Linked DNA regions of Notamacropus eugenii. The protein of the gene in region 3 purifies or fractionates together with the protein of the main gene of each other region. This does not show direct contact. Links are inferred from orthologs where the notes say so. Each region holds a gene or a part of one and is shown on either strand. Other genes may lie near its edges. The genes, in order: SMARCC2, SKIL, SMAD2 and TGFBR1.

Region 1 (7,535 bases), on a different chromosome or scaffold from region 3:
TAAAAGCGACCTACTCCCTCCCCCCTTATCATTTCACTTCAGAAAGCAAAGTACAGCAATAATATCTGCTCCTAAGCTGAGGGCATTTCTTCAACTATTTTATCCTTCTGACAAATCCCTAGACAGGGGTAGAGTAGCCTAGGGGGTAAAGTGACAGATCTGGTAATATCTGGAGACAGCCTCACTGGGCTAAGCCAGCAATACTCTAAGGTTGGCTGGGGAAGGAGAGATACAGTACTTAAATAGTCTAGGTCCTTCCCCAGGTTGTTGGGATACCCACCTGCCTTGGCCCTGTAGACTCACCGGAAGCTTGGTAAGTGGTGCGTTGCTCACATGTTTGCCAAATACCTCCTCCTGGAACTGTAGCAACTGTACCACTAGGCTAGATAAGGACTTGTTGGTGGGTGGCTCAGCTTGGATGTACTAGGAGGAGAGGGAGAAAGGGAATAATGAAGACTCCCATTATATCTCCCACAAGCCCCAAGCTTGAGAGAAAGGCCCCTAGAAAGGTAGTAAGGTCAAGTGGAGACATTCTAGAAGCCTCTCTCCTCAGACAACGGCTAGAAACTATGTGTGAAAAGAAGGCAGACAAGAGGCACCTTCACCTAGTTCTAAGGGCAGCAGAAAGAGCTCCAGGAGGTAAAAATTCTTCTGCCAGCAAATAACTGAAGCAGTTTAGTACTGAGTGCCCAAGAGGGAAGAATTTCCTTCTCTTTCTTGAGCTTCACTCTGTAATGTGAGCTGCCAGGACCCTCTTATCTTGATGCCACAACAGTACTCTGGGTCATAAAAGCCTCAGGCTTTATGGAATCCAGCCTATGTGGAGGTGATGGGAGAGAAGGAGGCTCTTCAGGACTCACTGAACAGAATAAGGTTGTCCACTAACTTGTGGGAACATTTTTGGGGGAGAGGGAGAGAAGAAAATCTTGGCAAATTGGTCATTAAGAAAGACAGGCCAAATAGAACTGCTACAGGATATTTGTGGAGGGGCCTTTGGTTTATAATAGATCCTCTAGAAGATAATAATAACATAAGGAAGACCGTACTCACATGCTGCCTAATAGAGAAATGGCAGGCAAAAAGCTCTACTATCCCTGAATAAACTAGGCTGGATACAAGCCCTGGTAAGAAGGCAGGTACCCTGATCGCTGTAGGCTGTTCAAAACAATTCTGGACTTTTTCCAGACATCCCCATATAATACTTCTCTCCAAGAATTCATGTTAAACTGAACCTCTAGGATTTCTTTTAACCCTTTGACCCCAGTTTCCTCCACCCCAATCACAGAGGACAACATCCCTCTCAGAGGGAGGCAGGGAAAATAGCTTCTGGGAAAGGAGAGGTCACAGGAGGGAAAAGTAAATGACAAAAGCCCAGGAGTATAAAAGCCACACCAGATCACGGGCAATCAATTCATCCCAGAATCCACTTACTAAGCCCCCAGTTTATTCTCCCTCCCAAAGGTCAGAGCTAGTAACTGCCTGGAAATCAGAGCCCCATGCTGAGTACAGACAAGCAACAGATGGAGCAGCTGACTGTCAGGATTCTGACACCTGGAGAGACCCCAGAGAACAAGGTTAGCTTGTATCCAAATGTATCTGGAACCTGAGGAAAGGGGCTTCACAGACCAGAGCTCTCCCAACAGTACCACCACTTACAACCTCCAACAGGAAACAAGGATGGGTAGGGAGAATCTGAAAGCCAGAAAACCAAGAAGGAAAAAAGATACAAAACTTGTCTTCCTCCTTGTAAGAAAGAGTGGGGAAGAGTGAAAAGGAGCAGATTCTTCCCGGAGAATCTGATTATGGGGAGAGAACACAACATAGGTGGATGCTGCCCTTTTATCAGCCTTCCAGACAAAGGACATAACCAGGAAAGGCCCGTAGAAGGGGGGGATCACGTTCCACAGACCTTTTGTTCACTCCCTTACCCCCCCAGTCTTGGGTAAAAAGGTTGGGACTGGGCTCCACACTGGGACCTCAAGTCAAGGGAGGCCCAAAGTGGGGACTTCACTGTAAATGCTGAGACACTGTTTGAGACCCACCATCCCCTGTCCTCTGGCCTCCCCTCGGATGGAGGCAGGCTAGACAGGTAAGAGCACGGAGATCCTCCCCAGGCCAAGAGCAGGAGGGAGGCCTTCCCGGTGGGTGTCTGCCCCGCTGCTTTTCCTCATTCCCTTCTCCCAATACTCTACACACACAAAGCCTCGGGGAGGCCTCAACTCCCGCCCCCACCCCCAGCCCTTGGGCACCGGGGCTGGCCCGGGGGAGTACCCAGTCGGCTTCTTCCTCCTCCCTCTCCCTGGCTGGCTCCTGCCCTTCTTGAGAATTTTCAAATGAACCACAAAGAGGAAGATGATGGTATTACTACTATTTTCATAGCGCTTCATGGTTCGCAAAGCGCTTTGCATGTGTGATCTCAGTGGATGGTGGTGACGGGAGACTCATGGAACCAGGGACATTGGATGGGGGGGTGACCGGGGGAAGGGGAGGCAATCAAACAAATAGAAGAACACATGGGGGGAGAACGTGAGGAGTAAGGGGGGGACAGCGGGGAGGGGGTAAAGGTCGCGGGGGGGAGGGGGGCCTGGGGAGCGGCGGGGCAGGGAAGGGACGGGGTATCGGGAGAGGGCACAGTGGGGAAGGGGGCAGGAGGAGGAAGACAGCGGGGGAGGGGACAGCGGGCAGAGGCGGCCGGGGCCCGGCCCGACTGCTCGAGGGTGGCCCGCAGCATGTGGGGATCGCGGGGACCCCACGGAAGGGGGCGGCAGCGGCGGGGGGGGTCCAAGCGGCGCCCTTTGTGGCGCCCGGGGCCCCGGCCCGGCCCGGCCCGGCCCGGCGCGCTGTGCTCAGGCCCGTACCTTCTTGTAGTTCTTGCCGAGCCACAGCCTCACGTTATCAAACTGGGTCACGGTGTCTGCGGCCTCGTAGTACTTCACGTTGGGGCCGCCATCCTTCTTCCGCACCGCCATCTTCTCCTGGCTCCCCCCCCCAGCTGCCGCCGCCGCCGCCACCGTCGCCGCCACCGCCCGCCCCGCTCCCTCGCCTCGCCTCCTCCTCCGCCCGCCGCCCGCAGCCGCCTGGGCCCAACGCAGCGCCCCCTGCCGGGCCCGGCCAGAGTGGTGAAGGCCCGCGGGAGGGAAGGGGGAGTGACGGGGGGGGGTCAGTGAGGGGAGGAGGACTGACTGGGGGGGGGGGCCAGTGAGGGGAGAGGGGAGCGATGGGGGGGTCAGTGCGGGGAGGGGGGAGTAGTGGGGGGGTCAGTGCGGGGAGGGGGGAGTAGTGGGGGGTCAGTGCGGGGAGGGGGACTGACGGGGGGGTCAGTGCGGGGAGGGGGGAGTAGTGGGGGGGTCAGTGCGGGGAGGGGGGAGTAGTGGGGGGTCAGTGCGGGGAGGGGGGAGTAGTGGGGGGTCAGTGCGGGGAGGGGGGAGTAGTGGGGGGGTCAGTGCGGGGAGGGGGACTGACGGGGGGGTCAGTGCGGGGAGGGGGGAGTAGTGGGGGGTCAGTGTGGGGAGGGGGACTGACCGGGGGGGTCAGTGAGGGGGCACTCATGGGGGGGTTGTCAGGGGAGGGGAGCCTGACAGTTCAGTGAAGGGCGGGGGAGTCACAGCGGGGGTCACTGGAGGGCGGGAGGAATGACAGCGGATTGAGGCGGGATGACAAGGGGAGTGACTGGGGGGATCGGTGTAGTACGGAAGGAGTGACGGAGGGGATCAGTAAAGGCTGGAGGAGTAATGGGGGTGTCAGTGAGGGAAGGGGGGTGATGATAGAGGGGTCAATGAGGGACTGGGAGAGGAGAGAATGACCCGGAAATAAGGGACGGGGGCGGTGATTGAGGGAGGTCTTTGGGGGGCAGGGGAGATCGTCGAAGGTGACAGAGGAGTGGGAGGGGTCGGGCCCCCCGTGAAGAGAAAGCCATTCTCCCTTCTCCCGGAAGCCCCCTCGGGGGCTCCAGCCCCTGCACACCATTGCCCCCTCTCTCCGAGCTGATCCCGGCCCCGCCCTTTCCTGGGGGGATTCCGAGCCTTCTCTCCCAAACTTCGGTGAGGAGCCACGGAGAGAGGGGGTGAAGGGGCATCTGCACCGAGAATTAGAGGGAGAAATTTGTCTGTCGGCCCGCAGCCTTTTCCACGCTGCTGCGACCCTTCCTATAAGCGCGCGGCAAAAGCTCAGCCCGGGAGTCACGGTGGCCGAGTGGTTAAGGCGTTGGACTCGAAATCCAATGGGGTTTCCCCGCACAGGTTCGAATCCTGTTCGTGACGGCCGCTGCTTTTTTTTTTTTTTTTTATTTTTTTTTCCCTTGCCCAAGAAAAGGGAGGCTCCAACCTAATTCATACAGAGTAGGTTCCGGTTGGGAAAAAAAGGCTCAGCACCTGGATTTTCGGGGTGTAGAGGGCACAGCCCGGGGGAGAACTGCTCGAGTCTCCGTCCCGCTAGCCCTTTCACTTCTGGGTCCGCCTGCTCTTGTTCGTTTTTATTCGTTTTTTGGAGGGGGCGGCAGGGCTGTGATTAGTTAGAGGTTAGATTGAATGGGAGGCAGAGACGTTTTTAGCAAAGATATAGAATGGCTGTGATGACATCCATCGCCTTCTGGGAGTGTAGTGAGAGAGACGAGAGCGAGGGGTGCTGAAGGGTGACCCCCAGTCCGGGCGCGCCTGCACGTCTTAAGTGGGGTGCTAGCATGAGGCTGATGTGCTGGTAGGGAAATTCCTTGGACAAGGCTGGAGCTAGACAGACGGAAGCCTGAGACGGGAGCCGATGTGGCGCCGAGGGAACGTCGGCGTCTGGGAGCCGGCAGGTCCTCGGTTCAAGTCCCGACGGTTGACGGTTAGGCCTGACTGTTTCCTAATCTGCCCACGTGGGGTTAATTACTCTACGTTACCTTTGTTAGCTGCGGTGGGGGGTGGGGCGTAAGGAAACTTACCAGACGGGTAATTGACGTTTGTAGTTACGCGGAGTTCTGGTCGGTCCGTGCATCTTGAGTCTGGTGCGCAGCAGTAATCAGTTACTTGTGTGTTCCGCACCTGATTGACATATGTACATAGAGTATCTTTGTTATTTTTCCCTTTTTTGTGAAACTCTGGATGCCAGCCCGATTTTTACTAGTTGGTCTCCAGGGTTCCGGGGTGAGCTAAAGAGCTGGGCAGTGTCTGTCGCTCGGAACTGAACTTGGTTCAGCTGCAGACGAGGTCCGGAGCCGAGGGCTGCCTGGGGGGCGACGGGAGGGCCGCCGGACCCGGAGCCCTGGTGAGTCCGGCGGTGTTCCGACTTGGGGATCCAGGCTCCCGTAAGTCCCTCGGCTTCCAGTTAGTTAAGTTTGGGAGTTCAGGGGAACGTCCCCACTGTGACGGTAAAATCTTCCGACTCGGAACTGAAGAGGTCCGCTTTCTTTTTCTCGAACTCCAGTTGGATTTCAGACTTTTTACCCGGAAGACTGACGAAATGGCTGCATTCTTCCCAGGGTTTAGAATTTTGCAGTCCCTTTCAAGAATCAGCTGGGGTACATGGCCTCTGGATGTACACAGCAGCCGACCATCAGATAAAATAGCAGCACTGGAGAGAGCAAAGGATGATGAAAGTAGCATCCCAGTTATTAACAACAAATACACACCAACGATACACCCGATAGACGTAGCTCAAAAACGCAAAACATCACTTGACAAGCTACTTTATTGACTACAGGTTTAAATTACACGTAGAACATAGTATATGCAGTATCACAGCAATACATGGGTATCCATGGGACACAAGCCAATATTCAAATACCAAAATCAAAGGAGAAATGACATTGGTGGGTCTACAAATAAGATTTGAAGAAAAAGAAACATAACTAAACGTACAGTAAAGCTGAATAGTTAGGCAAATGCAACTACAATAAATGCCTGATATATATGAATAAATAAACACAAGAAAAATAACGTAATACATGCTGTAAATGATATGCATCAATGAATTTAGAATGAAATTACATACAAAGTACATATTATATGCATAAACATTATCATCACCTGGCTATATATGTTGTATCCATTTAACATCTTTCACCTGATACATCTTAGTTAGCATGCTCATTGGTCAGAGAGTTGTAGCTCTTCTACTGAACTAACTGCTCCTATCCCTAGACTAACACCTTTTCAGGACTTTTCAGGGCTGCTTATCTACCTTCGGTGTCCATCTGATTCACCCAACTCTCACTTGTAGTTCCAAAAAGCTGTAGCAGGAGCAACAGCCAGAGCCCCATAATACCATCTTGGCAGATGGGCTAAACCAGGTCAAGGGTACCCGACAGGCTTCAGACTGGTCAGTGAGTGAGGGAGATGTCTACCCCAAGTATGTGAAGACTTCCCCTGGTAGAATGGGCAAATGAGAACAATTTGTTCCAACAACCATGAAGACAGCTGATGCAGGCGATGTGGAATGCCAACATCATCCACAGCAAACCAGACCATTGCCAGTCATCTTGACTTCTGTCCTGCCGCTGGATTTCTAATGAATCTGGAAGAGAGAGGCTGATGACTTTGCACAATTCTGCCTCATTTTAATTCACATCCAAGTCAAGACATCCTCTTCAAAATGAAGGAAGAACAACATCTGTTTCTTTCCTTGGGCTATATTGATTGCGTGGTTGAATCATAAATCCTCATCATGACTATAGTCCTGCTCTCCTAAATCTCAACTGGTCCAGCCTGGCTACCTGGGTTACTACATTCTGTCAGGACATGTAGAAACCAGAGCAGTCTCTACAGTTAGAGTGCTAGATAGGAAAGCTATTGCCTCTGAGTTTAAACCTTTTCTATCATTTGAATGGGATTTTGTAGAATATTCTTTACTTGAAATGAGTTTCTGGATCTTTGAGTCTTTATGACTAGAAAGTTATTTCTTCCGTGTATCATCCACTGAAATGAATGTCCAACACTTTTTGTCTGCCTTTCAGAAAATCCAAATAACTCACCTACTGGTGATAAATGGTTACAGTGGATTGCTTTGCAGGATCATTGCCAGTCTCTGGAACCATTCTGTACACAAAACAATATGACCAGTCTCTCTACTCCTAGGTATAGGGTAGCTTTCTATCAAATTGCTAACTGGTGTATCTCATGAATATCATGACTTCTCAGCAGAACAATATCTTCTAGGTGAAGGTATTAACAATTCAGTCATTCATTTCAGTGTTTTGGGGGGCTGAAGTTGTGGCTAAGTTGCTCTAACTCCCCTTGAAGTCAAGACATGTACTGATTGTATTTGCTTTCTTTCTATTCTCTGAGACTCTACAGTCAGTGGGTAGGTGTGGTTCCGGCCCAAATATGAGAAGGTAGGGTGTAAAGTCATTGATTAGCATAGGAAAGCCACATGTTGCCACTGAGACTTTTGTCTCAGTGTCTCTAATATGTGCTTTAAAATTTTGGGTTAATTCTGAACCAAATTAAGCTCACACAAGATTGAGTATGTGTGTGTGTATACATATATATACATATATATATATATGTATATATATGTATACACACACACACACACATAGAAGAACACAAAAAGAAAAT
Region 2 (7,277 bases), on a different chromosome or scaffold from region 3:
GAAAGTGGCTGAATAACAAAAAGCTGTGTCTCTGGTTGCAGAGCCCTTTTTGAAGCTAGTCAATGGAAAAGGTGATTTTCTTGTTCAGTCATGTTCAACTCTTCCTTCACCCCATTTGGGGTTTTCTTGGCAGAGATACTGGAGTGGTTTGCTATTTCCTTGTCTAGCTCATTTTACAGATGAGAAAACTGAGGCAAGCAGGGTTAAGTGACTTGTCCAGGGTCACATAGTTAGAAAGTCTGAGGCTGAAATTGGACTTCTGAGGATGAGTCTTCCTGATTTCAAGCCCACTGCCCCACCTAGCTGCCCCAACCAGGTGATTAGCAGAAGTACCTTGGAGAGACATAAGCATACAGAAGCATACACTGTAACTGGTTACAGTCTGGTTAGTCTCTCCAAGATACTTCCATTATGTGTCATTATGACTACTCAAGAAATAGAATCCCCAGAATCTTTCCCAAGGGGAGACATTGTCAAAGGTTCTCTGTTTATGTTCTAGATTTTATTATACATAACTATCTCATTTGGTCCTACTGAGATAGGTGTTATTATTATCCCCATTTTCCAGAGGAGATGAACTGAGGCTGAGACTACTTGCCCAGCATCACCCAGGGAGGAAGTGGCTGATTTGAACTCAAGATTCCCTGACTCTAAGTTAGGGCTCTATCCATCATACCACCTAGCTACCTCTTTAATTTTTTGGACAGTAGGGAATCATTCAAAGCTTTTGAGGTGGGGAGATATGATGACTCTTAGGGATTATCTTCTACAATTCAGCAGATAAAATGATGGGCAATTCAAAAATCCCTTACTTTTGGCTTTGGAATCCAGACCCACACACACATAGACTCTGTGTCAACTCTGTGCTCAATCTTTCTGTTGGCTGCATAGGACCCAAATGAGCAGCAGAGATGAGGAGACATGCATCATCCCTGGTAATTAAGTTGGCCTCATGTGTATTTGTCTTTGGACATGGACCATTCTCTTTACCACCTGCAGTGACTGCTTTCTTTCTTTTTCTGCCTTTTATTTGTATTTTGTGGGCCCTCTTACTATAACATCTGGGCTGGAAGAGACAATGACTGTTATTTTTCTTAAGGGTTTTTATAAAATCAATCTTGCAAATACTTCTAAGGCCTGCAAAAATTTGACCACAGATGAACCTTCCAAGATATACTTGATCTAAGAAAATCTCACTTGCTTACAAGTCCCAACCTGCAGTTTGGGGCCAGTGGCCTTGGGATCTGAAGGGCAAAATGCAATGTGCCAGGCACTTTCTGTGCTTTATCAGATGATGCAAAAAATTCTATTTTTCCCCAATAAATTCAAACAATTCCCTCCACATTTAGATTTCCCTAGCTACTAGTTTACTCCCTACCCCCAGAGGGGTAAATAAACAAGTTTTACCCTCCCATCACCAGGAGGTGAAGAACAAGACTTTTCTTGCAGCAAAGAATGTTGGCTTCTATCAGAAACACAGATGTTTTGTGGGGGAAAACAACATGAGCAGATGAAATAAACAGTAGTAGTTTGAAACTGAGATTTTTCTGCCTACGGTCTTTGGGCTTGTAAACAGTTATGTTTATGGCTGATAAAATGGCCAACAATTGATTACTAATGGCAGTTTTGAAATAACCTTTCTTTTTCTTCAATGGGTGTTGGAGGGGTCTTTGTGGTTTGCACCAAATTCATGGACCAGGTACAGACAACTGACCAAGGCTCAGGGCTGTCTACCCTTCTCACTTCAATCTTTGGTTAGGTCATCTATGTTTTCTGACTGGTTAAAAAAAAAATCTGTCCCTGCAGGCTCACAGATGCTCCTGGTTCCCCCACTGACTCCACACAGAGCATCATTATCTCTGCAGAGCTTCTGTCTCTATGGTAATAACAGATGGGAAGTGCTACAGAATTATTCATGCTAGGGAAAGGAGACAGTCCAAAGAAAGGGTGGGGGGTGGGGGGTGGGGGGAAGAGCATCCTTCCCTGAGGGAAAGAGAGGCTCAGTAACTGGGAAGAACAATAGTTGGTGGAGATGGGGGTGAAACTTTGGAACCAATATGGGAGCTGAGTAAAGAGGAGGGGGAGGAGCTAGAAGGGAGGCAAGAGGAGAAAAATCTTTTGTCCCTGTTGTGTCTCAGCTGTCCCGAAGAACCTCTGGCCCGATGGTAGGGAGTGTTTAGAAGGATACACCAAATGACAGAACTCACGACAATAAAATAAGGGACTAATAGAAAATTGGGCACTCTCCTCCCTCCCAACCCCCATCTCTCAGAACAACACACAAAAAACTCTGAACCTAATGAGTACTGAATGCTTTAGTGCTGGGTGGAGATAGTTTCAATTCCTGATTTTAGAGCTGTGGTGGAGTAAAATGAATCTTGCCATGGTCCATCAATAGTACTGAACATCTAGAAAAGTAATTGTAACTTTTTAAAAAGTAAATGTTCAATTCTCTTGAAATTGTGATGCTCTATCCTCCTCCTCCTCCTCTCCCCCAGCCCCCAAACAAGAGAAAAGTTTTTAGATAGGTTTGTTGTTGTTCAGTCGTATCTGACTCTTTGTGACCCCATTTGGGGTTTGTTTGGCAGAGGTACTGAAGCAGTTTGCTATTTCATTCCCCAGCTCATTTTACAAAGGAGGAAACTGAGGCAGTTGGGGTTAAGTGACTTACTTAGGGTCACACAGCTAGTAAGCCTCTGAGGCCAGGTTTGAATTTCCTGGCACTCCCCCACCTAGTTATTTAATAGCTAACATGCTGGTTCACAATTATTATCTTACTTGATCCTCACACAACAACCCTGGGGAGGAAGGTGCTATTATTATCACCCCTTATACAGATAAGGACACTGAAGCAAAGAGAGGTTTGGTGACTCACCCAGGATCACACGGCTAGTAAGTGTTGGAGGTCGAATCTGAACTCAGGTCTTCCTGACTCCAGGTCCAGAGCTCTAATCACTGAAACACCTAGCAGATATACTTTTTATGATCTTTATTCTTTCCTCTTTTCCATCTACGGTTTTCTACTTCCAAAGAGACCTTTTAGCAACAATAATGTAGTTTTAGCCAACAAAAGAGGCCACCTCTCTGCCTTGGGCACTAGGTTAGGTGCCCAGGCTTTGATACACAAAAACAAAAACAGAACCAGAAATAGTCTCCCCTTCAGGGAACTTACACACTGCTGGGTGGAGTTGGAGGAGAGGATGATAAACACCAAGTAGCAAAGAAACTGAATCTGGAGGTTAGAATCCCGACTTGCTATCTTTGACCAGGGACAAAATCGCTTTGCTTCTCTGGTGTTTCTCACCTCTAAAATGAGGACCGACAATCATTCATTCAGTCACCAAGCATTTATTAAGCTCTTACTCTGTGTGCTAAACTCCAGGGTTAAAACTGAAGCAAAAAAAAAAAAAGTTCCTGCCTTTAAGGAATTTTGTTTGGCCTTTTTGGGGGATCCCTAATGTTTAGCACAATTCCTGGCACACAGTAAGCGCTTAATTAATGCTTGTTGATTGACTGAAGAGGAATGTAACACATTAAAAGGAGATTCTGACCCCAGCTCCAAGTCGTGTGAAAAATGTGTATGGATAAGAAGCAATTTGAGGGAGAAGAACTATAATCGTAGCTGATATTTACACAGGAATTTACCAACTTCGACTCACACGGTTCTCTGAGGGAGGGAGGCCATCTTCATGGGATCACGGATTTAGAGCCGGTTGTGGTCATCTTTTAATGATGGGCAATACTTATCCCGAACAGGAGGAAACTGAGGCACAGAGCAGTTGCTTGACAAGGAAGCAAGCGAAGATTTCTTAAGAGACTGCCCTGGGCCGGAGAGACCCTGGGCCATTCCCGGGATAGAAGGTCACCCAGGGGCCCCCGCTTCCTTGGACCAACTTATAGCCCTCTTACTGCGTGGACACTACCACCTTGTTGGCAGCTCTGCTCCCAGTCTGCAATGATTCTCTCATCCCTCCAGCTCTTGGGTGGTTAGGCTCCACTCCTGCGCTCCCCTCCCCATGTGAAAGTCAACCAATAAAAAAAAGAACCCTGAAAAAAAACCCTCGCTGTGGATGCTCTGGGTGTTTTAGATCGCGCGAGGGGAGGGGCCCGGACCAGGGCCAGGGAGGGAGATGCCCGGGGCTTCGCTGGGGCTGCAACTTTTTTTTTTCCAGACGATCGACTCCCCGGCTGCCCGCGGGCCGAGGTCAGTTCAGGCGAGGAGCCGCCGAGCGCTCCCTGTTCCGGGAGTCCAGGAGCCTGGAGGGCCGGGGGAGGGCTCGGGGCAGCCAGAGGCAAGGTCGGGGCGGGGCTCCCGTCTGCTGGTGCAGAGCTGGCTTTCTGGGGCGGGCTGGAGGCCCCGCGGTCTAGGAAGTACGGGCGGGGGGAAGGGGAGAGAAGGCGGGGGGGGGGGGGGGGGGGGGTTCCTGGAAAGAGGGGGAGGGGCGCCGCGAGCAGATGCGGTTCTGGGCTGGGGGAGGGGTGTCCCCGACCTCCCCACTTAGGGGACTCGGAGGAGCGGCGTGGAGGGGGCTGGAGGAGGGGCTGGGGGCGGGGGGAGGGAGCAGATGCTGCCAGGCGGAGGGGTTTGTCCCTGACCTCTCAAGGAGGGGGCTCGGAAGGGCGAAGGGGAGGGGGAGCAGATGCTGTTCTCGGCTGAGCGCCTGCGTAAGGGATTGGGGAGGGGGTCCCAGATATCTTCGGGAGAGGGATTCACGGGGGCGCTTTGGGGGCAGTGCCCTCCACCTGGGGCGCCCCTGATCTCCCCGGGCCGGGGGCTCATGGGGACGCCTGGGGAGGGTGGGGAGGGGCTGCCCTGTCCCCTGGCGGGGGCGCCCCCAGTCTCCCCGGGTGGGGGGCTCATGGGGACGCCTGGGGGGGTGGGGAGGAGCTGCCCTGTCCCCCGGCGGGGGCGCCCCCAGTGTCCCCGGGTGGGGGGCTCATGGGGACGCCTGGGGAGGGTGGGGAGGGGCTGCCCTGTCCCCCGGCGGGGGCGCCCCCAGTGTCCCCGGGTGGGGGGCTCATGGGGACGCCTGGGGGGGTGGGGAGGGGCTGCCCTGTCCCCCGGCGGGGGCGCCCCCAGTCTCCCCGGGTGGGGGGCTCATGGGGACGCCTGGGGGGGTGGGGAGGGGCTGCCCTGTCCCCCGGCGGGGGCGCCCCCAGTCTCCCCGGGTGGGGGGCTCATGGGGACGCCTGGGGAGGGTGGGGAGGGCCGCCTTATCCCCCGGCGGGGGCGCCCCGCGGTCTGGCTCCGGGCCCCCGCGGGGCGGGCCGCAGACTGCCGGCTCAGCCCCTCCCCCGCAGCCCGGCCGGGCGGGGCGGGGCGGGAGGGAACATCCTGTCTGCTCCGGGCGCACCGCAGACAGGCTCGCGCGCCAGCCGGCCAGACGGCGCGCGGGGCCGCGAGGACCTGGGAGCCCCGCGGGCGGGGGAGGGGGGAGGGGCGCCGGGCGCGCGCGGCCGGGCGGGGAGCGCGGGGCGGGGCCGGAGCCACAATAGAGCGCTGGGGCCGCGGGGCGCGCGCGCGGGGACGCTGGCGCGGCCTGCCCCTCCCCCTCCCCCGCGGCCCCTCCCCCCGGGCTGCCGGAGACGGCGGCGGCGGCGGCGGCGTCTGCGGGAAGCTGTGTCTCCGCAGTGACGTGGGCGGTCTGTGTGCCCGGTGACGTCAGAGGGCTGGCTGTGTGTAGCCATGGGGGGGCGGGGGGTTCTGAGCGGCGGCGCCGGCGGAGCCCGGGGGAGCCTCGGAGCGGCGGCGGGGCCCGGGGGAGCAGCGCAGGTACGGTTCGGCCCAGCCCGGCGGGGCCCGCGGGCAGGGGAGCGGCGCGGGGGGCCGCGGGAGGTCGGGGGGCTGCGGGGGACTGCGGGGGGCCAGGGCTGCACTTGACCTCGGCGTCCGCCGGGGATGCCCTCGCCTCGGCGGGGCGCGGCGGGGCCCAGCCCGGACCTCCTGGCCCGTCGGCGAGGCTCGGCGGCCGTGGGCAGGGGGCTTCCGCTCGGGGCGCCACCCGCCCGGCTGGGGGGAGGGGGCTGGAGACCACCGGGCTGGGGAGGAAGGGCCCCCCTGCCCTGGTCTGCCCTCTCCCCTGGTCTACCCCCTCCCCCTGGTCTACCCCTCTACCCCCCACCCCGGGTCTGCCCTTTCCTCTATTTCTGCCTTCCCTTGTCTACCCCTCCCCCCGTGTCTGTCTCCTCAACGCCCCCCCCCGTCTTCACTCTGCTTCCCCCCATCTCCGTCTGCCGCTCCCCTCCAGTGTCCCCCCCCCGTCCCCCCGCCCCCGCTTGAGTGGCGCCCAGTTCCCGAAGTGTGGGCAGCGACGGAAGGGGATGGAGATGTCGGGGTGGGGTGCGGAATGGCTAAAGGAGACTGCTGCCTCCACTCCCCGACGCCCCCTCCTCTGACTCTCTCTTTCCGTCCGAGGGGTGGGGGATCGAGGGAGGGGGGCTTGGGTTGACCCTCCCTGGAGGAGGTGGGGAGGCCGAAAGGGGACTTTCACTAGTGGCTGCTCTCCACCCGCACCCCATCCACTGGTTGAGCCTCGGCGGGCGAGCTCTGTTTAGTTTCAGGGGCCGCAGATGGGGAGAGGATGACAGGGTGGGTGAGGAAAGGAAGGGGATTTCCACCCGAGTGTCCCCATGGTTCCCCCCACCCCCACCCCCGACAGCCTCCACCCTCCACCCTGTTGGAGTCTAGACTTGTTCCCCAGGGCAGACTGGCAGGGGGAGGGCTGGGGATGTCCCTGTCGGCTTGTGGAGGAGGAGGACTCCCACCTACCGCCTCATCCTGATTCCTAGTGTCCTGCCTCCCCCTCCCTTCCCTAGGGTTTTCAATTGAGTACTTGACTCCGCGTGGGTGTAAAGGACTTTCGGGGTTTGGGGAATCCCCAGTTCTCCAGGTGATTCCTTTTGGGCTTCGTGGTTTGAGCTGGCGCTCTGCGGTGGGGTTGAAGTCAGTGGATTCCTTCCTTTCCCTTGTTGGGATGGATGGAGTGAATAGTTCAGGCAGCAATAGTTCATCTTCACCCTCACCCCAATTTTCTCCAGTTTATTCAGGATTTCTTTTCTTGAGAAGGAAGTGGAAGGAGGATTTACCTCTCCCCCTCCCCCCTTCCCCTTGCTCCATTTGCATTCTTTGTGAACAGTGTCTGCAACTGCTTTTTTTGTCCCAGATTAGCCTTGTTCAAGGTTGGAGGGTCAAAGGATTGGAATACATAGTTCCCAGGCAGCAGGAAGATTTTCTCACCTTTTGGATTTACCTACTTTTTTTTTTAAACGTACTTTTG
Region 3 (7,740 bases):
TTAAATATTCTAGTTTTAAAAATACACAAAAAATTATGATTCACATTTCAGAATATTTTCCTTACTCTCCCTTCTCTTTCATTTTATAGATATTACTTTATTTAATGAAAAAATAATGAAAAATTCATAAATTCAGATTTTAAAATTTTCTAACCCCACCACATAAAGTTCCACAAAACTTCCAGGGCAAAGGAGAGAATGACTATATGGTACAGTGGAAAGAGACCTGAGTTAGAATACTCTGTCCCACTTAATACTCATGCAATCAAGTCACCAGTTTCCAGGCCTCAGTTTCCTCATCTATGAGAGGAAGGGGCTGGACTCAATTACCTCTTCTAACACCGGTCTCTTCCAGAGCTAAACCTAGGATGCCATTCAAGTATTGCCCTTTACACTTTAAGACACTTTACTGTCTTTAAGACAGATTGGGGAAAAAGAACAAAAAAATGCAGTTGGTGGCTAAACTATTTCCACTCAATAGATTAAGTAACTAAAACACTCCTCTCTTGTTCTCTATCTGCAATCCAAGGGAGGGGAAGAGACTGAATTACTTCCAGTCCAAGTTTGTTGTTAAATTTGGATTTTTGAAATTAAGTAAAAGAAAATTGAACTGCACTTTTATTTTAAAGTCAAAGTTCGCTGATGAATCTGGGTGATGAATCTGGTATCTTTTCAACTAATTTGAAAAATGACTTGCTTTTTAAAGTACACATCACAGATTTTGGCATATATGGCATATGATGCATATATATGTTGCATGTATATACACAAACATATATAAAATTTGTATCTACACAAGATACAGACCTTGGTGAAGGGAAAGGAAAGAAAATCGACTTTTGGAGTCAGATGACTTGGGGCTCAAATCCCATTTCTGGTGCCTTCCACCTACTCCACCTTGGCTAAGTCACTTAGCTTTTAGGGGACTCAGTTTCCTCATCTATAAAATGAAGGACTTGAACTAGACGGGCTTCTCATGTTCCTTTCCAGTTTCCCTAAGTCTAAGCGTGCCACGATTTGTAAAACAAGTTCATTTTCATCTACACAAAACCCAGACACTGATCTTTTGAAGGTAGAGACGAGGTGAGAAGAGAGGGGAAGCAACAAAACCAGTTAAATTGGTTCCCTTTGTTTGGGATCAACAGAATAATTCCTAAATCAAAGATTAAAAGGTACACACAAGACTTAATAAACTACAGTATTCACCGCCAGGAAAGTGGCAAATTATAGAATTATGCTGCAAGCATCCCCCATGGGCACGCTTTTCGTAGAGCAACTTTAAAAAGTAGACCCCAAAGGAATCATTTCCGCAGTAAATAATAATAAATAAAGGAAACTAAAGGCAGTCCTTGCCGCCGCCGCTACCACCACCACCACCACCACAGCTACTACGACGACGACCACCACTCCTGGATCACTGCCCCACCTCCAACCCCCTCTCCAGCTTTAAAGACTGTCTGGACGGGTTCCGACAAGGAGGCACAATGGACGTTCCGGGCCCCGGCTGCAGAGGACGCCTCTGGCCCCTTCCCATCATCACCACTTTCTGCCAGCCCCGGCCGCTTCCCAGGACCGATCACACTCCACACAGGACCGCCCCCCCACCCATTCACCCCCAGTGAAGGAGGCGAGCACAAATACATCTCGGAGACTCCCGGAATTGTAGGAGGGGGTGGGGGGGATGGGGGTGTTACCTCACGGAGGCGGCGGCCCCTCTCGGGCAGGATCGGGGGGGTCTCGGACCTTTTGTTCCTTCCCCTTTGGAATGGGATGTAGGAGTCTGGGGAAGCAGGGAAGGAGGGGGAGGGGGGAGTGGAAATGGTCGATTTAAGGCGGAACTGAAAACACTCTCCCCTCCGCCCCTCCCCCAGAGGAGGCAGAGTCCCGAGGCGAGGAGGCGGACCAGCGGGGCGTGGGGGGCTGGGAGAATGCAGGTTGGGAAAGGGTCGCGGGAAGAGGGAAAGAGGAGCCGCCGCCCGGTCCGCCCACACCGGAGGGAGGAGAAAATAGGGGAGGGCGTGGGGACGTGCGTGTCCCACCGCTCGCCCCTCCTCCCCTACCTCACGCGCGAACACACACACACACACACACACACACACACACACACACACACACACACGAACAAGACTAACCGGCCCGCGCGGTTTCCCTGCCCCCACCGCCTCCGTGCCACCTACCGCTGCCGCGCAGCGAACCCTGCTCCCGGCTGCTCGCTCGCTCGGCTCTCGCTGCCTTTGCTACCTAGCTGCTGCTATTGCCGCCGCTGCTGCTCCTGCTCCTCCGCCGCGGCCGTGCGGGTAAAACCCGCCTCCTACCCCGGGCCCCGGGTCCCGGCGATTCGTCAGTATAGCCCCGGGGCTGGCACCCTGCCGCCCGCTGATTGGCGCCCCCGCCCGCCCGTTAGGGCGTGAGGACGCGCCGGCCGTGAGGAGCGCTCCGCGCGCCCAGGAGATGGGGTGGGGGGGCGGGGAGCGGGGGAAGGGAGCTCAAGTGCGCCAGGGAGAGAGAGTTGCGGACTAACACCTTCTTCGCTTTTCCCTCTTGGCCACGCCCTCCTAACCCACCCGATCTGATGGACATCTACCTCGACGAATCGGAGCTTGCCGAGGTCGGGGTGTGCGCGGCACGTCGGGTTCCCTGAATCGGACGGGAAACGTCGCTCGCCGATGGGTCCCGCCTCCTCCGTAGAACGTGAGGTGGTGTGGGGGGAGGGGTCAGAAAGGCAGCGGTTTCGGTTGATTCCTCTCGCCCGCGTATACAGGAGATTCACTAGAGGTGGGGAGGAGGGGAGGGCGGAAGGACAGGCTTTATCTAAACATACAGTAACCTGCCGCGTAGGGAAAATAATCCCAGCAAAAGTACTCACCCATCTTTCTACCTCACCCAGCGTGCCTCAGCCTCGTTGGCTTGCCGCCCCTTCCCCAGGTCATCACCCCTTTCACACTCACTAAGTGGCCACAGGGTGGGGCTCGTTTAGGGACTATCCCTCTCCATTCCAAAAGGGATTTAACCTACGCTCAGGGGAGGGAGGACTAGGAAGGAAAGGGGGAGACGAGAGCTCCCAGCCCCACCCCCATAGGAGACAAATGGGACTGAGAAAAGGAAGGGGGCGTGGTCAAAAGCCGGGAGGGTCTTGTATGTAAATAAGGAGGCGGGGACAAAATCACCTCCAAGAGCAAATTAGGATGTCCTGGAGGGGCGGGGCTCAATCATACTAGGAGAGCTTGGTGCGGGTCTCTGTCCGCTATACCGGTGAAATATGCCAGCCATAGTAAGTTCGTTGGATTTATGATGGAGGGGACCCCAGAGTCCACCAGATCCTGTCCTCTTACTTTTCAGCGGAGGAGAGTGAGGCCCAGGGAGGGGAAGGGTCTTGTCCAAGTTCAAGTAGGGAGTAAATCGCAGAGCTCACATTAGAACCCAGGTCTTCTGATACTAGAGCTAGGACTTGTTCTACTACGCTGCCCTTTACTAACTACTACACTGCCTATGTTCTTTCAAAAGTAATTTCTTCTTTTCCTTCTTCTCCTCCTCCTTTTCCTTCTCCTTCACCTCCTCCTCCTTTCTTCTTCCTTGACCACCTTGGCTAGTATATTATCAAAATCCTAGTTATTGATCTGTGCTGGAATTTTTGTTTTCATTTATTTTGATTACCCTAAATTATTCCCAATGTCCAATTCATGATGTGGGACTGCAAAATCTGCCCTATGGAAATGTAAGGAGGCTTTGAGGTGGTGGCCCCCCAGGGCTCTCTGACAGCCTATGCAGCCATAGTCTGCCATTTCCATTTAGGGAGTACCTCAACCTCTAGAGAAGAGAATATGAAATAGTCAAATCAAATCAGCTCTTTATTGAACACCATTCCTTTCTAGAATTTTTGACAGATGAGGAAATCTGGGCATAGTCTGACATACATGGTAGACTGAGATAAAGGCTTCAAAAGATTCAGAGAAAAGATAGGTAGATTCCTCAGATAAAGGTCTCATTTCTTAAATATACAAAGAACTTTGTCAAATTTATAAGAATATGTCATACCCCAGTTAAAGGATCAAGGGATATGAACTGGCAGCTTTTCGATGAAGAAATCAAAACTATATATGATCATATGAAAAATTGCTCTAATTACTTAGAGAAATGCAAATTAAAACAACTTTGAGATATCATCTTATACCTGTCATATTAGGAAAAGGATGAACAGGATGGGGTATTTGATTGTGATGGAATATTACTATGATATAAGAAATGATGAGCTGGTTGATTTAGAAAAACATGGAAAGACTTGGACTATGAAGGAAGGTACTATCCACCTCCAGACAAAGAACTGACAAATAGAAATATGCATAGTATGGTCTTATATGTATATATGTATATGTGTATAATATATGTGTATGTTTATAGATATGTATATATATGCATATATATTCATATTTAATTGTAGCCTTTTATGAAGGGAGAAAAAATAAGATAGAAAATGCACTGTAGACAACAAAAGAAAACCTAGAAGGAAGCACAGAAAAGCTGGGTAGCTTTGAAAAAATACATAGTATTGATTACATAGGTTTTCATGAATAAACATTTTTTTTATATTGAATCCTCTCTTATGTTTACCTGTATACAAGGAATTTTTTTTTCTTGTTTTGTGTTTAACTTTAAGAGAGGAATAAAAAACATATTTTAAAAGATAAATAGGATCCTGTGGGCTAAAAGATCATGGAATTAAGGCTGACAACATGTTGAATGTAAGAACATGATCCCTCTTGTAGAAATAGTGCTAAAACTTAAAATCAGCTATTTCTGATAAGGGAAGCTAAGGATAACAAAAAAGTATATTTAAAGCTATATTGGGAGAAAAAGATCTTTGAAAGAGATAAGACCTTTGCTTGGAGTGCATGAGGTTATGATACCTAAGAACCAAGAAAACAAAACTGCTCAAATCTTATTTTGCTTCTGTTTACTAAGGAAAATGATCTTTTCACTGGAATGACAGAATATGACTAATAACAAGTTGATACCCAAGTAACATGATGGTAAAAGAGTATCTGTTTGTTCTTGATTAAAGCAGTTCACCTGGTGTGCAGATAGATTATATACTCAAATACTGAAAGAACTGGAAGGGATGTGACTGTTTAATCAGTGATATTTGAAAAATCATGAAAAACAAAGGAGATACTACAAGATTAGGAAAGTGCTAATGTGGTTCTGATTTTCAAAATAAAAGTGGGAGGAGAGAGAACAGTTTTTAAGCTATAGACAAATAAACTTTACTTTGTGGGAAAATACAAAAATATATCATTAAAGAGATGATTGGTAAGCCACTAGAAGGGGAAACCGTCATTAAAAAGAACCAGCATAACTTCATCAAGAATAGATCATGGCAAATTCATCTCATTTCCTTTTTCAACATATTTAATAAATTTGTAGATGAAGGGAATGCCATGGATATAATTTACCCAGATTTTAACAAAGCTTTTGATAAAGTGTCACTTACTATTATTGTAGAGAAGATGAAGAGGCATTGGGTAGATACAATTAGACAGATTTAGAATTGGTTGAATAGTTGAACTCAGTATATATTAGTAGTTCAATGCTGGCATGGCAGAATATCTCCAGTGGAGTAACTACAGAGGTCTCTGCTCGGTTCTCTACTATTTAACATTTTAACATTTTATCATGGACTTGGATAAAAGTATAGATGACCTGTTAATCAAATTTGGCAAAGATATTGTACTGGAAGGGATAGAGAAGATTCTAGAAAATGAAGTCAAGTTTCAAAAGACCTTGACACATGACTAAGTAAAGGCAGGAATTCACCTCATCTCTCCCAATTTCCCCACCAAACAACTTCATAATAATGCCTCAAAACAAATTCTGGAGCAGCAGAACTAACAAAGATACAGTGAAACAACTTCCCAGCCCAAGACAACTTAGAAAGTTGGTAGAAAAGTTATGTCTCACTAGGGGGAGAATGGAGTGCAGTCCAGCACAGATCATGCCCTGGCAAGCCAGCAGTAGGCCTTGAGGGTGACTAAATCAGCCCACAGATGGTAAGGAGAGAGGGGTCAGAAAACCGGTAAGAAGGCAATTACAGAAAACCCTTTCTTGTCACTGGGTACAGGATGCTGTTACATTGCCAATACGTGGTTCCATTGCGCAGTCTCAGGGTGAGGAGGATCACTAGAATAGTAGAACATGTGGCCACAGGAGAGGCACAGTTACAGAGCTGAAAGAGTGCAGCATTCATTCCCAGATCAGAGCACAAGCCAGAAGAATAGTGACCACACCTCCCCTTTGATCATACCACTTTGGAAGAACTGAAAACTTAAAGATACCAACCCCCTCAAAAATTAGCTCTGAAAATAGCAGCTCAAAAACCCTGAAGCTTGGGACCATGCCCTTTCTACGCAAAAGTCAAGAAATACACTGGAAAAATTAGCAAACAGCAACAAAAAGAACCTAACCATGGAAAGTTACTATGGTGATAGAGAAGGTCAAACCATAAACTCAGAGGAAGACAACAAAATCAAAATACTATTTCCAAAGCCTCAAAGAAAAATGTGAATTGGTCTGGGGTCCAAAAAGGATTCCTGGAAGGGCTCAAAAAGGAGTGTTAAAATCAAATAAAAGAGGTAGAGAAAAATGTGAAAAGAAATGACAGTGATTAAAAGTGAGTCAACAGCTTGGTAAAGGAGGCAGAAAAAAAAAATGAAGAAAATATTGCCTGAAAATCAGAATAGGCCAAATGGTAAAAGAGGCACAAAATTCCACTGAAGAAAAGAGAGATACAGAGGGAGATACAAAAACTTGCTGAAGAAAATCATTTCTTAAAAATTAGAATTAGGCAAGTGGAAGCTAATGAGTCCACGAGACATCAAGAAATCATAAAATGAAAGGAATAAAAAAAGAAGACAATGTAAAATATCTCACTGGAAAAACTTTTTACTTGGAAAAATAGATCAGGGAGAATTAACTTGAGAATTATTGGACTACCTGAAAACTATGATAAAAAATAAAAAGCCTAGATGTCATATTTCAAGAAATTGTCAAGGAAAACTTCTCTGATATCCTAGAAGCAGAGAGTAAAATAGAAATTGAAAGAACCCACTAATCCCCTCCTAAAAGAGATCCCAAAATTAATATTATAGCCAAATGCTAGAGCTCCTGGGAGAAGGAGAAAATATTGTAGATAGCCAGAAAGAAACAACTCAAATATTGTGGAATCAAGATAACACAAGATTTGGCAGCTTTTATGTTAAAGGATTGGAGGGTTTGGGATATGATATTCCAAAGAGCTAGGATTACAAACAAGAATCATTTACCCAGCAAAACTGAGTATAATCCTTCAGTGGGAAAAATGGATATTTAATGAAATAGACAACTTTCAAGCATTCCTGATGAAAAGACTAGAACTGAATGGAAAATTTGACTTTCAAACACAGCACTCAAGAGAAGCATAAAAAAGGTAAACAGAAAAGAGAAATCATAAGAGATTCAATAAGTTCAAAATGTTTACATTCCTAAATGGGAAGATGCCTAAGAATATTATCATTATTAGGGCAGTTAGAAGAAGTATATTTATACTGAGGACACAGGTGTAACTTGACTATGATGGTATGATATCTAAAAAAATTAAGGGATTAGAAAGAGAGATGTATTAGAAGAAAGGAGAGATAGAACAAGGCAAATTATCCCACATAAAAGCCATGAAAGAACTTATATAGTGGAGAGGAAGATGGGGTGGGG
Region 4 (7,507 bases), on a different chromosome or scaffold from region 3:
CTCCTTCCTTCCACTGCCCATCCTACTTTCAGACACAGCTCAAGGATCATCTTTTGCATGAACCTTTCATTATTTCCTCCAACTGCTAAAATATCTTGTATTTTACAACTTTGTATATATCTGTATTTATACTGTATATATCTATATACATACTTGTCTCTCCCATTAGACTATAAACTTCTCGTCAGAATTGTTTCGTTCTTTTTAGGTATATTACCAGCATAATGCCTGGTCTATAGCAGCTGCTTAACAAATACTTGTTAAGTAATTGATTTCTGGGTTTGTGCCTTCCCTCCAAAGGACCTCCAAGGTATAGGAAGTTATTTATAAAATACTAAAGGCTCTTTCCTCACAACAATCTGGTAAGGGAGGGAGTATAATTATGATTTCCATTTTTTAACAGTTAAACGACTTGGCCTGAAGTGATAGGTCAGGTATCATCTGATGCCAAGGCCAATCGATGCCCTTTCCACAGCTCCAAGTTGCTCATTTCTATGCATAGTCCAGCACATAGAACTTGTGACTTCTGAATGTCTATGCAATGTTCTACACAGAAAAGGCACTCAAAAAATGTTACCCAAATACAAAGCTGGAATGTTAATATTTAAAAAGCAGTAAAATCAACTTTTCGCGTTAAATGGTATGGATAATTCACAAGTAATTTATATTTACCTTTAGAATACATTTATTACTTTTCCAGCAATTTGTCTTCTAAATATTACTTCCATAGGTAATGGAAATATAAAATATAAGCCAGATGTAGAATTCTTTCATAAAATATGTCATCCATAACATAAAGGACCAGGAGAGGAGTAGGGGTGTCCTAGTCATGTGGCAAAAGCAAGGATTAACAGATAGACAGCCCAAGTGCTGTACTGGTTAAAAAAAAAAAAACCCTAGAAAGGGCTGTTGTGGAAAAAGCTCCATAGGAAGTTTATGGAAACATACAAAAAAGAATCACACAAAAGGAAAGATGAGTTTGGGGGTGGGGAAAGGGTATCCACATCAAAAGAAAGCAAGCATTTTTGCAGCCCATCTTAAAAAGAATAGTAATCCCTTAACATCTACTGACAGCCATAAACGGAACACTGGAAAGCAGAAAAGCGCTTTGACATTTTAAAATTTGTGGAGGTAAATCCACAGAGTAAATAATCAAATACTGTTAGGTCAACTGCTTCCAAGGTGACTTAAAAGATATAAAAAGAAAATCAATAACAAACAGAATTACACACACACACACACACACACACACACACGTAATTTCATAGGATCGGAGCTCAGTACTTGAAAGCGGCCCTAGAGATAATCTTGCCCAATCCCTTCAACGGACAGATAAGAAAACCAAGGCACAGGAGACTTTACCTCCCAGCCCAGGGTAGCCCAATTTGGAAGCATCTTAGCCAGAGCACAGGAACGTGACCAAATAGAAAACGCCTTCCCTAGCAGCTGAAAACGCTGCCTGGCTTTGCAGCGTTGCTACAACTTAACTCTACACTATCTCGCTACACCACTACTTACTGGTGCCTCTCACGCGATCCTCACACCTGCAAAGTTCTCCCTCCTCTCCTGGACTCTCCAGTCTCATCTCCAACCCAGCTTTCCCCACTGGCCTTCCAGATCCCTCCCAGGGCTGGAGCTTCCAGCCCAGATTAGACGATTAAGCACTAGGTAATTCACGTTATCTGTTTGGAAGGGAGCTCCTCCAGGGCACGGACCCAGGCTGGCCTTTCTTTGTATCTGCAGGGCTTAGCCTAACGCTAGGGACGGAGCTCCTTCCACCAACGTCACTCTTCAGCTCCAAAGATGGGAGGTTTTAGGTGGGTTAGGGGCTTTTTTTGGGTGGTTTTACTTATTTTTTGAGGGCGTTTCTGTGCGTGCACGAAAAAGCACTGCCCAGTCGGTATGCCTCCCCACCTCCTAAAACGATCCCTCGCTCGGGTCCCAGAAAACCGGGTCCTCCCAGAGCGGCAGCTCCCCTGCCGCCGTCCTCGTGATAGTCATCTCTCTCCCACTAGAAATCTGATTTAGCAGCAAGAGGAGGAAAAACAAATCTTCTCCCAACACGTGTTGGATGAATGTGTAAAAAAAAAAAAAAAAAGTCATTCCCATTCAAACATTTCGAAACGCCGAGCAAATATTCAGACAAGTTTCTAGGGCGAAAATAATTCTTAGTCATCTGGTGATGGAATTCGCCCGCACCCCCTCCCCCCCACCCCGGGCACCCGGGAAGCGGCCGCCGCGCTTCACACCTACTTAGCCCCCGGCTCCCGGGGCCAGCACAAAGATAGGGGAGGGGAGGTCCGCACTCGGGGCAGGAGGGGCCGGAGGCTCCGGCGGGGCTGGGGGGGGGGGGTCAGGAGTCCGCGACACCCCCCGCCAGACACCCTCCCGGCCCCGGGCGGAGAGGCCAGCCCCGCGAGCCCGGGCTCCCCGCCGCCGCCCCCCGCCTCCTCACAATCTCCGTCTGCGGTCTGTCTGGCCGAGGCGGCGGCGGAGCCCCGGGAGGAGCCCTCCTCCGTCTCCCGCAAGCCGCCCGACCACCCCCGGCGCCCCCGGGGCCCGCGCCATGTTGGAGAAAGGGGCCGCGGCCCCAGCGCCCCCGTCCGCCTCCGCCGCCGCCCCGGCCCCTCCCCCCTCCTGCGGCTCACCCGTCGCCCCTGGGACCAGCCCCGCGGCCGCCAGGAGGAGAAACATCTGGTAGCGGGGGGGAACGGTCGTCTTCCCCGCGACGGCCGCCGCCGCGGCCGCCTCCATGGTCCCGCGTCGTAGTCCGCGTCGGGTCCTTTCGAGGGGCCGGGGCCGCGTCTCGGTGCCCCCGCCCCGAGGAACCAGAGAGCCTCGCCTCGCGCCGCGGCCTCGTTCGGCCCCTTTGTAACTGCTCGGGGGGGGCCCTCCCATTGGCTGCGAGGGACGTCCCGGCCCCGCCTCCCGGCAGCTGCCGAGACGGGAGAACAACAAGAGAGGCGAGAGCCCGGCCCGCAGGGCCGCAGCCAATCCGGGGCCGGAGGGCGCCGGGAACGGCCGGGCCCCCGCCTCCTTCCCAGTCCCTCCACAGGCTCACCCCTCCCACCCCGCCTCCTTCCCAGGCTCCCAGGACTCCCCCGCCCCCTCCTCAGCCCCACCCCCTCACCCCGCGTCCCCCCACGCCGGAGGTTTCGGATGGTGCAAGAAGTGGGGGGGGGGGGGGGTGAGCAGTGAGCCGTGCACTGGAAGAGGAAGCGGCCGCCGAAGCCAGGGGCTCTGGGGTCCCTAGAGCTGGGGGGCGCCCAAGGGGCCCCAGCATGTTGTGCCCGCGGAGGGGAAGTACTTCAGGACTGGGGGCCTCTCTCCGCTCGGTGCACGGGGACCGGGGCGGCCGCACCCCCTTCCCAGGGGACCGTTATCGCCCTGGGCCACTCCGGAGCTGCCGCCAGCTCCGGGCCCTCTTCCGTCCCCACTCCCCATTCCTCCTCCGACGGCCCCCCTTCCCCCGAAGCCCTCGGAGACGTGACCTCGGGGCCGTCTGCGCTTCACCACTCTTACTAACTGAGCCCGGAGAGCCGAGCAGGCCGGAATGGGGCCGCCCCGTTTTCTAACCACTCCAGCGGCGGGATGGGGGAAAGGCGGTCTACACCGCACGCACGATCGCCGAGACCCCCCGGGACTCAAGAGCCCTTGCCTCTCTGGCTCGCCCCTTTCATGAAGTCAAATAAACTCGGGAGAAACTCGGAAGGGGTAGAGGGAACTCTCGCCGCCGAGACGAGGCAGCCCGTTCTGCAACCACAAGTGGCTAATGTTTAAAACCTGCGGTGTTTGCAGTACCACGGGTATCCAGCGTGCCTCTTTGGGGAATCTTTGGTTTCCTTCAAGACGAAAATAAGCTGAACTACTTTTCCATTCTTGATTTTCTCGGCTGAGAGACACTCCTCCCACCTTCACTTCAGTATGTGCCAAAATAATTTAGCAGCCAGACTTCTGATTCTGCAATAAAATACTTTTACTTTCGATACAAATACTATGCAGTTTTTTAACGCTAAACTTTTTTTTTTAACAGAAAGCTTCAATATCTATTTTCCATTTATTTGGCTTCAATCCTTTTTTTTTTTTTTAAACTTAATGATCTCTCCTTGCCTCAGTCTCCTGGCTTCCTTCAAGTCACTGCTAAAATCCCACCTTCTGCAACAAGCCTTTCCCAGTTCCCCCTAATACCTCTCCTCAGTGATTATCTCCACTTTATGCTGTTTACATATATATATGTATATATATATATATATATATATATATATATATATACACACATATATTCATAGTTGTTTACTTGTTGTCTCTCCCATTAGACTACGAGCTCCTTGAGGATCAGGAGTTTTTGACTTTGTACCCTTAGTGCCTGGCACAAAGTAGGTGAGCTTTATAAACGCTTATTGATTTGACTTTTTGACTTGGATAAGGAACTTGTCCTCATTTATGGATTCCCTTAAAATGTGTTTGGGCGATAATGTATTAATAAAAGTGGTTAAGAAAACCTTTAAATCTGGAGACTTTAAAAGCCTAGTAAGAGTGGGAGTAATAGTGATTAGGGCTGATGCAAATGAATATAGCTTTTAATCCTCCCCAGAGTGGCTTGTATTTAAGGAGTTTAAATTGTTAAGATAAATGAATTAACTCACTGGTGCCTGCGACACAGGGCAGCAGTGAATAGATCGCCTGACCTGGAGTCAGGAGAACCTGAGCTCAGATGTGACCTCAGACGCTTATTAGCGGTGTGACGTTGGGAAAGTCATTTACCCCTGTTTGCCCTAGTTTTCTCATCTGAAAAATGGGTTGGAGAGGAAAATGGTAAACCAATCCAGTATCTATGTCATGAACACCCCAAGTAGGGTCACTGTGAGTCTGACACAACAAAAGCCTGAGACACAATCCCCCCCACTCCTCCCCACCTCTATTTAGAGACCTTTGCGTGCCGTCTGCTTACAGAAAGGAAAGCAGTCAACACTTCTGCTCCTAACCATCTCCTTTCTTAGGGGTTCGGCGACTTGATGTCTCACTCTCAAAAGTTTCTAATTGCTGATCTAGCTTTTTTTCTAATGATTAGAATGTGTTTGTGGACTAGATACAGTGTTTCTCTCCCTCAGAAAGTCTCCGATAGACACTGACTAATTGTATCTCTCCAGGCTCCATAAGGGCTTCCATCTTACTAGTCTTATTTAGAATCAACTGTTTTGCTTGGTTTCAACTCCAGGAACTTCATTCCTTCCCCCAGAATAAATTCCTCACCTGAAATCTCATCGTCATGTGGACTGACTCAGTTTTTGATAATCTTGATAATCCAACACCTCTTCTGTTTCCTGAGTTGCCTCTCCCCTTAGTTTGGAGCTAGGGGCTGGAAAGCTAAGCAGTCAACTCAGAACTTTTCAAATATTTATTTTCCATCAGTTGCCCAACTTGGTTTCCGAGTGGGTCCCAGACGCCCCTTCCCCTTTTCAGCTTCCTTTTGTGAATTGGCTTCCTCGATAGTGACTGTCTTATTTTTTGTTTATATATCTCCAGAACTGAAGATAGTGTCTGGCGCTTAATATGTGTGCTTAATAGACGTTTATTGACTAAAGACAATAATAATCCTCAAATTCTCAAGTCAATTTTCATGAAATGCATTTTATGTCAGCTATTCTAGGATGATATTTTGGAAAATATATCAAATCCACTGATTCTATGATACCACCACCTCAGATCTCAGTCTTGAGCTATTATGAAAATATGGATGTCTTTGTATGTCACATCTTTCTGTTTCCCTGTTTAGTCACTAAGAGAGAGGAAGGAGGTGAGGAGCAAGATGCTTGGAAGGGCAAATGGCCTTTTCCTAACACAAGTTGTAAGTAAAGGGTAATCAAACATTTCTTGGAAGTGAAAGTAAAATCCTACAGCTAAAGGAAGTCTGCTATTTTTCACCTCAGGAATATGAGTCTTAGGCAAACTAGGATAATTAATGAAATATCTAGAGCAGGAGTTGTTAATGGGGTCACTGAACTTTTTTTAAAAAATTAAAACTATGCAGGATGTTCCCAATATCTTAGTGCAGTTTTAAACTGTACACTGTAATTCAAGGTAATTGTTTTCCTATGTAATCTATGTATATTACATGTAAGTAGTTTTGAACTATCTTTGATTACTATATAGGTTATCGCTTTGGAAATATTTCAATATTTCTTCTGATTGATAGGAATACTTCCAACTATGTAACCAATTTATACCATTTAATCTTCCATGATTCTTCTGTGTTCTTGGAAGGGGAACATTGTTCATCTGTGATGTCTTTCCAAGATACATACATACATATGTATGTGTATATATATATACTAATAGAATATTTTTATAGACTACACACCTAACTGCATATTATGGTCCACAGTAGACAACAGGCATTTTCCCCTATAGTGCTTACTTCCCCACATGTGTGTCTGAGTGTCTGTGTCAGTGTGTGCATGCACATATACATATGCACACACAAATGATACATACATCATTATCCAGACCCACATTGAACCAACCAAGTAGAATATAAACTGCTTGGGGGCAAGAAGTATTTAATTTTTAACTTTATATCCCCAATATCTAGTAGAGTACTTCACACATAGTAGGTGCTTAATAGGTGTTTGTTGAAATGAATTTTTAACTCATGTTCTTTCCTACATGGAGAGTTAAACTAGCCATCTTTTATCCTGATATTCTTTAGGAGGCCATATAGAAATCTGAGGCTTGATATAATTAACCCAATATCATCTTCAAATAAGAACACTTGGAGGGCCTCATTATCTACAGGAAATCTTCCTTGTCTTTGGACTCCCTACAAGATAGTCCCCATGACAATGGCAAGCACCTTTGGCAATATACATCTCCAATTTATTATGCCACATGTATTAATAATGAAAACGTCATTGAACAAAAATCATCTCTGTAGTTACATTTATCAAGGAATCTCATTATAGGCATAGGAAGTTCAATGTTGCAGCCTTAAAGGACTTTAAATAGCATTTTGTTCTACTATCTTAAATGTTTTATAATTTTAAAAAACTGTTTAGCCTTATGTGCTCTGAACATTTTAGTCAATTATAAGGCTGTGAAAACGTGATCAGTTGTGGAAAGTAATCTATGAAAGCCGGCTTGTTCCCTTCTCATATTTTTTTTTTTATCAAGTATAATCTCAAGAAGAAATATAAAGATAAGTCACTTGAATCAATGACAACTCCATTTTTAACTTTTTTTTTTAAAAAAACCATTGATTTTGAAAAATGGAAATTGGATATGGGTAATGTTTCTAAATCTGATTAATGAGTTAAAGCAGTTATCACAATGAGGAAGTCATGGTAGCTCAGAAGCTATCTCAGCCAGCTAACACTTGATCTCTTTGCCATGCAGAGATATGTGACAACCAAAAGCATCCCTGACTTAGCATATAGACTTATTTGCTAAACATTGAGTAGGATGGCAAAAGATTGATTATAGGTAGTGCCACCTCATGTAACAGCAAAAA

Evidence for each region.
Region 1: the proteins of SMAD2 (region 3) and SMARCC2 purify together in Homo sapiens (affinity purification with mass spectrometry; 3 studies listed by BioGRID, with this or other methods). This does not show direct contact. The link is inferred for Notamacropus eugenii from reciprocal best matches to the Homo sapiens genes SMAD2 and SMARCC2.
Region 2: the proteins of SMAD2 (region 3) and SKIL purify together in Homo sapiens (affinity purification with western blotting; 8 studies listed by BioGRID and IntAct, with this or other methods). This does not show direct contact. The link is inferred for Notamacropus eugenii from reciprocal best matches to the Homo sapiens genes SMAD2 and SKIL.
Region 4: the proteins of SMAD2 (region 3) and TGFBR1 purify together in Homo sapiens (affinity purification with western blotting; 8 studies listed by BioGRID and IntAct, with this or other methods). This does not show direct contact. The link is inferred for Notamacropus eugenii from reciprocal best matches to the Homo sapiens genes SMAD2 and TGFBR1.

Annotation. Positions count from the first base shown.
Region 1 is NC_092874.1:231,452,514-231,460,048, forward strand, and holds the start of SMARCC2 (SWI/SNF complex subunit SMARCC2), read right to left. Parts: upstream 3,009-7,535; 5' UTR 2,970-3,008; coding exon 2,859-2,969; intron 424-2,858; coding exon 304-423; intron 1-303. UniProt on the Homo sapiens protein: Involved in transcriptional activation and repression of select genes by chromatin remodeling (alteration of DNA-nucleosome topology).
Region 2 is NC_092877.1:353,779,880-353,787,156, reverse strand, and holds the start of SKIL (ski-like protein), read left to right. Parts: upstream 1-4,275; 5' UTR 4,276-4,297; exon of another isoform or gene 4,298-4,375; intron 4,376-4,570; exon of another isoform or gene 4,571-4,665; intron 4,666-5,672; exon of another isoform or gene 5,673-5,773; intron 5,774-7,277. UniProt on the Homo sapiens protein: May have regulatory role in cell division or differentiation in response to extracellular signals.
Region 3 is NC_092875.1:325,358,062-325,365,801, reverse strand, and holds the start of SMAD2 (mothers against decapentaplegic homolog 2), read right to left. Parts: upstream 3,005-7,740; 5' UTR 2,585-3,004; intron 2,509-2,584; exon of another isoform or gene 2,178-2,508; intron 2,028-2,177; exon of another isoform or gene 1,695-2,027; intron 1-1,694. UniProt on the Homo sapiens protein: Receptor-regulated SMAD (R-SMAD) that is an intracellular signal transducer and transcriptional modulator activated by TGF-beta (transforming growth factor) and activin type 1 receptor kinases.
Region 4 is NC_092872.1:65,598,496-65,606,002, forward strand, and holds the start of TGFBR1 (TGF-beta receptor type-1), read right to left. Parts: upstream 3,013-7,507; 5' UTR 2,899-3,012; coding exon 2,649-2,898; intron 1-2,648. UniProt on the Homo sapiens protein: Transmembrane serine/threonine kinase forming with the TGF-beta type II serine/threonine kinase receptor, TGFBR2, the non-promiscuous receptor for the TGF-beta cytokines TGFB1, TGFB2 and TGFB3.